2 linked regions of the Caenorhabditis elegans genome follow. The protein of the gene in region 2 purifies or fractionates together with the protein of the main gene of each other region. This does not show direct contact. Each region holds a gene or a part of one and is shown on either strand. Other genes may lie near its edges.

The links. Proteins that work in one complex are often made in the same cells at the same time.
Region 1: the proteins of djr-1.1 (region 2) and ndab-1 fractionate together in Caenorhabditis elegans (co-fractionation; one large-scale study listed by BioGRID). This does not show direct contact.

The regions. Positions count from the first base shown.
Region 1 is NC_003281.10:11,914,653-11,917,290, forward strand, and holds ndab-1 (Acyl carrier protein), read right to left. Parts: upstream 1,061-2,638; 5' UTR 1,059-1,060; coding exon 915-1,058; intron 859-914; coding exon 601-858; 3' UTR 501-600; downstream 1-500. Other genes in the region: Nuclear pore complex protein npp-16, read left to right, coding at 1,283-1,420, 1,478-2,034, 2,255-2,638.
Region 2 is NC_003280.10:287,916-293,451, reverse strand, and holds djr-1.1 (Glutathione-independent glyoxalase DJR-1.1), read right to left. Parts: upstream 2,871-5,536; 5' UTR 2,844-2,870; coding exon 2,712-2,843; intron 2,519-2,711; coding exon 2,245-2,518; intron 1,879-2,244; coding exon 1,721-1,878; 3' UTR 1,603-1,720; downstream 1-1,602. Other genes in the region: mrpl-41 (Large ribosomal subunit protein mL41), read right to left, coding at 3,147-3,246, 3,351-3,476, 3,582-3,689, 4,305-4,513; misc-1 (Mitochondrial 2-oxoglutarate/malate carrier protein), read right to left, coding at 4,979-5,137, 5,257-5,536.

The DNA of each region.
Region 1 (2,638 bases), on a different chromosome or scaffold from region 2:
TTTTCTTGATTTTTTTTGTTAAAAACTGATTCAAATCGGTTTGTATAGATTGTCGACCTGAAAAAAAAACATAATTCGACAGAAAAACACCTATAAAATTTGCTAAAATGTAAACAAAAACACTTTTTTTAAAATTGTAATGAAAAAATTGTTCTAAATCAGTTTTTTTTGCTCAAAAATTTGTGATTTTTCTGTTTTTTGAACTGAAAAACGAAAAAAACTGGTTTAAATCAATTTTTAACAAGAAAAAATAACGAAATTCGCTGCAAAAACGTTTTTTTTTTTAGTTTTCTCATTAAAAATTTGTGTTTCTCCTGTTTTTCGACTTGAAAAACAAATTTCAACAAAAAAAAAGAAAGAAAAACGCCAAAATTCTGGAAAAATGCACTAAAAAAGCGGCTACCATAAACTTTCGCGTCGAGACCCCTAAATCTGTGCGCCTTTGAGAAAAGTATATCAGAAAGAAATTAACTTTTTATCAACGCGAAAATTATTAAATGAATTTCAAACTTTTATTTTTGAAAAAAAATCCGAAAAACAAAAAAAAATGATAATAGAAAATATTTCTACTGCAGCTAAAAAGATAAAGAAATACAAAAATTATTCGAAAACGTCTTCCTTGTCGGCGATGTACTGGAAGATGTCGCGTGGCGTCTTGAAGCGATCCGCATCTCCGTCGGGAATCTCGAATCCAAACTCTTCCTCCATCGCCATCACAACTTCTACGTGATCCAGAGAGTCGAGGCCGAGATCTTTCGAGAAATCCGAGTCCATTGTGAGCTTCTTCGCGTCGATTTTGTCGTAGAGTGAGAGAACCAACACAATTCGCTCCTCGAGTGTCTTTTTGGTCAGTGGAGCCTGGAAAATGTTGTTTTCTTTTTGCGAAAAAATATTTTTTTTTTGTTAATTCCCACCTTTGCAGAGTATTGTCTGATTTGGAAGCTTGGTTTCTGTGCGGAGAGGAGTATTGGGGTGATGACTCGTTGTTGGACGGACGCATTGCTCAGTGCACGCACTGAAACAGTGCGGAGAGCAGCGGAAACGGCGACTCGCAACATTTCTGAACAAATAAATAATTAATAATAATTTTTCGAACCGAAATTCGAAAAAAATTTGACGGGAAATCGGGAAATGACTCATCGAGCCTGAAAAATAAGTGAAAAATAAAAAGAAACGCCCGCAAGCGTCGTCGGGTTTGATGCCGAGTACGCAAACACCGTCACGTCACATTGCACAGTCTTGCGAATTCAAATTAAAAAACAGATTTTCGTTCAGATTCGTGATGAATTCCCTAATTCCACCGCCAACTTCTGAGCAACAAATGAACATGTTCCGGCTCCGCGACAAAATGAGCCTCCTGAATGCAGAATTTCTCAAAGTCATCAACGGATATTTCACGGAAAAGAATCATTATGATTTTGTAAGTTTAAGGTTTAAAACCTTTTTTTTATGTCTAATTAAAGATCTAATCTTTCAGTCTGGAACTATGAAATCATATATGGATCATGTGGCACAGCTCAAGCAGATTTATAAGGTCGATGATGACGTTGCAGCCGATATGACAGTGCCCAGACGAACCGAAAACTCGTCTGAAAGTTCTGGAGAAACAGTTGCTCCGCGGAAAATAGCCAAAGCTGTGCGGAAGAATGGAACGCCAAAAAATCCGCTGAATTCTACAGTTTTCGCTGCCTCGAGCCCGGCGGCGACAGTCGCGTCTGTGCCCAAGTTTGGCGACATTTCAGTGATAACCAAGGAAACGCCAGCTCCACTCGCAAAAACCGCAGAGCCACTCGTTGCTCCAGCAGCTCCAGCGACCGCCCGAAAACGCGCGATTCGTGGCGGAGGACCTCTCGGTGGAGCTGAATCAGTGGTTTTCAAATCGGGCGAAGACGGACAAGCCGCCACGTCGAGTGTGAAGATTCCGGCTACGACGATCAAATTTCCGGAGCCCACCAAGGATTTCTGGACGAAAAAGTCTGATGCGCCGGCGGCTCCGAGTAATTCAGGCTCACTTTTCGCATTTTTGGGAAAAGAGTTAGTATATATATAATCGAAATTGGAAAAAATTCATTAAAATTGAATTTTCTAACATTTTGCCACATAAAAAATAGCATTTTCGTGGTGAGAATGCTACATTTTACGCTGAAAAATTGTTTTTTCCAACTAGAAATCGAAAATGTCGGCTTTTTTGCAAAAATAGCAATTTCAGACTATTTTCTATTAAAAAAAACCCACCAATATATCAAAATTTCAGTGGCGACAAGCCGAAGGAAACTCCAAAATTCAGTGGATTCTCGTTCGGAAAGAAGCCCGCCGAGCCTTCCGAAGAGCCAAAAGCTGCGGATTCCACACCAAAATTGACATTTGGCTCACCAAAAGAAGCAGATTTGCCGAAACCAGCTAGCTCTCTATTCGGAGCCAGTCCTTCTAAGCCTCTGGTGTTCGGAGGAAGCTCCGCAGACTCTACCACATCGGCTCCAAAACCTTTCTCGGCTCTTTCCACGGCAGCTTCATTATTTGGATCAAGCTCTGCCTCCACCACCACCACCGCCACTCAACCATTATCATTTGGCTCAAGCTCCACTGGAGGCTCAAGCCTTTTCAGCGGATTCGCTGGTCTCGCACAGAAAGCCATGGA
Region 2 (5,536 bases):
AGAAAATTTATTCAACGGTAACTATCTATAGTTTCAACCATCTTCCGAGTTTGAACTGATCTTTATACCTCCAGAGAAATCAACAATGATCGCACAAAATGAATTTATAAAATAATGTAACATCTCGCTTTGTTTTCGACAATAATCGAGCTCAGTTCTTGAGATCAATGCTAATTGAAGAAAATTAAAGTGATCAGGTTTTTTCTGGAGGATAAAGTTCAGTTTGAATAAACTAAACCATTTTTCTCTTGAAATCTTGCAGTTCTTTTTTATCTCAGTCAGAAATTCTTAACTTACGGTTCCTATTATAAAATTTAAAAAAAAACAGGGTTTAGTGAATAAAAGAAATGTATACATGCACAGGCAAGATGTCGGTGGAGGTAACCTTAACGGTAGAGCACGTGGTGTCAGGCTGTCCGATCACTGTTTACAAAAAATGTTTACAAAAAATCTACAAAAAATGTGGGAATTGTTCGCCCCAAAAAAAATGTGACGTCAGCACGTTCTTAACTATGCGAAATCAGTTGAGAACTCTGCGTCTAAACTCCCGCATTTTTTGTAGATCTACGTAGATCAAGCCTTTTTGGGCCTACTAGGATATTTTAAATGATAGAAAATGAACCGTAATGGCCAAGCACAATTACGATAAATTGTATCGAAGATTTGTCAAAGACGGAAGTATGATGATTCTTTAAACAAAAAATCCTGATATCTTCTGGCATTCAATCAACCACTTTTCGTGTGGAAATTCAAAAAATCAAAATCAGAACAATCAAAAATACAAAAAATGTCATGTTTCTCGGACTTGCAACATCTCTGACGTGACAGAATCCGGAAAAAAATCATCGCTTTTTCTGAAAATTGGAAAAAAAGACCACAAAAGAGAGTCAGAAGCCGATTATCAAGGTCAGAATGCGTCAGGATCTGAAAATAGAGAGTCCAAGACGGTCAATTTCGGCACTGGAGGTAACTCCGGGCTTCTGGGGGCTCAAGGCTTAGTTAGTTCTCTGGTTCAGGACTTGATTCACTAGCTAGGCTTTGGCTTTGGTTTAGGACTAGACTTAGGCTTAGGCTTTGGTTTAGGATTAGACTTAGGCTTAGACTCAGGCTTATGTTTAGGCTATGCTTAGTTTTAGGCTAGTCTTAGGCTAGGCTTAGGCTTAGGCTTAGGGTTATGCTTAGGCTTAGGTTTAGGCTAGGCTCACGCTTAGGCTTATATTTTGGATAGACTTAGGCTTCAGCTTTGGCTTAGGCTAGGCTTACGCTTAGGCTTAGGTTTAGGAATAGGCTAGACTTGGCCTTAAGCATTGGCTTTGGCTTAGGTTCAGGCTGTGGCTTAGGCTAGGCTAAGGCTTACTTTGTTAGGCTTATGTTTAGGATAGGCTTAGGCTTACACGTCTTACACTTAAGTTTAGGAAATAATATAAATTCGCAAGAAAAATGAGAAAAAAGGAAAAATCAAAGTTTCGTGAGGGAAATAACCGCGGAAGTCATTTTAAGTTGCTCGCGCGCGCGCTCTGTTGATTAAGCTCATCAGAGTATGTCCTCGTTACTCGGGTGACTGCTGTCATTGGATAAACAAATTTGTAGTTTTCTCGGAGCTTTCTAGATTTTTTATTTAAAAAAGAAATGTATAATTTATAGGTGTGGGAAAAACGTGAAATTGTGACGAATATACAATAAACCAAGAGGAAATTCAGCGAAAAAAAAACGGGAAGAATTAGAGCTTCAGGAGCATCGGAGCAATAAGGCTGGTGGCCTTGTCCTTTCCCTCAAGCAGCTCCACAATTTTCAGCGCAAATTCGAAGGCAGTTCCGGGTCCACGAGAGGTGATGATTTTGCCACTGACAACAACACGATCCTCCGAGTACTTGTAGCCTGGAAATCACAAGTTTTTCGGGGAGAAATGAAAATTTGGGCATAGCTTCCGCATCCCCAGTGACAAATGTGCTCTATTCCACCGAATTGTTGGTTGGAATACGGTATTTATTGCATGTTTCAGCCGAGAATACCGATATTCATACCATCAATTTGGATAGAAACACATAAGTCATGAAAGTTATAGGATCTCACTAAGTGGCCGCGGAAAATTCGGTGGCCGAGTTTTTTCCAGGCCACGTTGCAAGTGAAAAATTCGCTAGTTTTGCCTAATGTAGATTTTTTTAATGAATAGTTAAGGCTCCCCTATGAAATTGTTCGATTTTTAGCGACTTTTCACCAAAAAAAGTGCAAAACCAGCTGTACCTCCTTTCTCGAGTTTCTCCTTAACACTTGGATGACTTGTCACAAGTTCTGCCTTGACTCCATGGCTCAAGAGTGCAATTGGAGCTGCACAAATTGCTCCAATCAGCCCACCAGACTCTACTTGGCTCTTGAGAACATCGCGGACAAGTAGGCTTTCAGCCAACGTGTTGCTGCCCGGTTGGCCGCCTGGAAGAATCACAATATCGAATTTTTCGGTTTCCACGTCTTCGAGTTTGACGTCTGGCACGATGTGGGCTCCGCGAGCACATTTTACCTGGAAAATGTGAATATTTATGATTTTTGACTGGTTTCGAAAAGAAAAATTATTTGAAATTTCTGAATTTTTCTCAAATTTAAACATATTTTGGGGTTAAAATACCTCAATTATTGATTTTTTTTTTTGGGATTTCGGAATTTTTAATTTTTTAAATTCTAGATTTTTTACAATTTTCTGCTAATTCCCGTACCGGTTCGGCTCCATCTAATCCGGCATAAACCACACGAATTTCACCACGAGCAAGTACATCTCCAGTGATAATGACCTCCATTTCCTCAGCTCCTTCGGCCGCCAATATGATTAAAGCCGATTTTTGAGCCATTTTTCAAAGTTGCTCAGTTGAAAAATTCTGAAAAAGGGAAAAAAACTCAAAAGTAAGTTTTAAAAATTAAAATTTTTTGGTTTTTGACGTTTTTTTTTAAGTTTATGTTTAGGAGATTAGTCAATTTCTTGGTTTTTGACTTCAAATCTGAAAATTTTAAATATAAAAAAGGGGAAACAACTCGAATTTTGAGGAAAAAATACAGAAAAAAAAGGGAAATTTTTTTTTCAACAAAAACAAAAAATATAACAGAAAAATCGCTATAAAATATGAAAAATCTATGAAAAAAAAATCGATTTAACATTATTTATTTCCATATTTTCCCTCCTTGTATGCACTTCGGACAGTGTCGCCGTACGCCAATTCGAACAATGTTTCAGCTGACATTTTCGGTGGTGGCCATCTGGAAAATTTAATTTTTTTTTCAATTTTTTGGGCAAAAAATCTACAAAACTGCTTTTTTTCAGGTAATTTCAAATAAAAAAAATCAGAAATTTTTAGTTTTACCTCTCATCCTCAACAGTATGTAAATCAGCCAATCGTTCGGATCCTTTTTCCAAAACTTTCTTCTCATACGCAACTCGTCGCTTTTCGATTTGAACATCTGTACGGTAGGAGACGTAGGGCCGAAGTCTGAAAACTTGAAACTGAACTTGAAAATTCAAAAAAAAAAGTCAATTTTCATGGGTTTTACCCATATTTCGTGAATTTTTCATTTGAAAATCCCTTAAATCGTACTTGAAACCATCCAAATTCGGTACAACAAGCTCTGATCGCATCTCTTTCACCGGTACAAACTCTCCAGTCTTTTCGTCGTGAAATCCGTCCGCCTGGACTCCGGTGTACCTGGAAAATTAAAATTTTAGAAAATAATCGAGGATGGGCCTGCTACAAACTAGACTACAAACTACAAATACCGATTTAGCAGACCCGAGTGATATTGAAGAAATTTGGTCTGCTAGACTACAAACTACACATTTCGATTTAGCAGACCAATATAAAAATTGCCTGTTTTCAGCTTAAAATTTAGATTTTTGATTCTTTTTTTTTTTGGAATACAATGTTAATTCACTCAAAAATTTGATATTAGATCAATTTTCCCCGAAAGTTCCGATTTTTTCAGGATTTAATATGAAAATACGCACTTTTGTCTTAAAACACAAAAATTGCAAAACACTTGAATTTTTGCTAATTTCTATTTGAAAAAAATTCATTTTCCTACTGAAAAATTGAAAAATTCATCATTTTCTAATTTTTATTGCGAAAATTGAAAACTTTGGGTCTGCTACACTACAAACTACAAGTTGTCGTTTAGCAGACCCATTTTGTTTTGAAGAAATTTGGTCTGCTAGACTACAAACTACAATTTTCGATTTAGCAGACCCAAGTGGTCTGGATGAGAAATTTAAAAGTCTTAAAACGTTTGGGGTTAATATTGAAAAAAATTACAAAATTTCACACCTATGCAACTCTTTTGGATTCAATTTCTGAAATTTCGGAGAAAGTTCTGGAAATTCGCGATTCTGTCCGGGCCATTTGAATTTTTCGTAGTTCATTGGACCGATTTTCCTTTGTCCAAATGCTCCTTTCTTCACAAATGGCCATGGAGCCGGAAAATTGGTTGAATTGAGTGAACGGACTCCACGAGTGCTTACGAGCACCAGTTTCATCTGAAAAATTGGATTTTTTAATTGAAATTTTCGATTGTTTGCTTAAAAATATGGAAATTAAGAAAAAAGTCGATTTTTGAATGGTAATCTGGATTTTTCAAAATTAAAAATGAAAATATCGAGAAAAAATGGATTTTTGGCTGAAATAGCCCTGCCTGCAATACCTGAAAATAGAATTTTAAAAAATATAAGAAGCGGGAAAAAACCAAAAAAAAAAACAGAGAACAAACGTTTTGAAAATCATTAAAAATTGCATTTATATGCAGAAAAAAATACAAGAAAAAATTGGTATGAACACGAAAAACTGAAGAAAAAATACTGAATTTTCCTGGCTAAAACAAAATTTCTGGCCAAAATTTAAAATCTGAAAAGTGTACACAACACAACCTAAATAGCATAAAATTATGTTCAAAAAAAATAATAAAACTGTGATTTTTTGGTCGAAAAATAGCTGAAAAATCGATTCTACAAGGCACTGGTCACATCTCGCTTGAGCACATATTGGAAGTAGGCGGCATTCATTTGTTCCAAAATGATGAAAGTGAGCACGGTATGGGGTCCAAGACGCATGTAATATGGGGTAAAGCCCTTCCAGAGGGCGAAGATTCCTTCGTTTTTGATGACCTGGAAAATTTAAATTTTTGGTTTAAAATTTGGGGATATCCGAGTGAAAACCTACTTTTTAGCAAAAACGGGAAAATTAGATTTTCGAATTTTTACATTTTTTTAAAAGTTAAATTTACCTTTCCCCAAACATCAAAAGCATTCTTATATTCCGGTTTTCCATCAATAACTTTCATTGATTGAATTCTCGTTTTTGCAATATCGACAGGCATCGATGCAATTGTAGTTGCCAATCCACTGATCATTGATGCCAAAAAGTGGCAGAAAATGCCATCTTGAACCTTTCCAGAAGCCAAAAGTGCCTGTTTCGCCTGGGAATATGTGGCAAGTTGGGCGGCATTTACGACCATTGCTCGGAGTACTGTAGGTGTACATCCACGCCAAAGAGTTAGGACACCT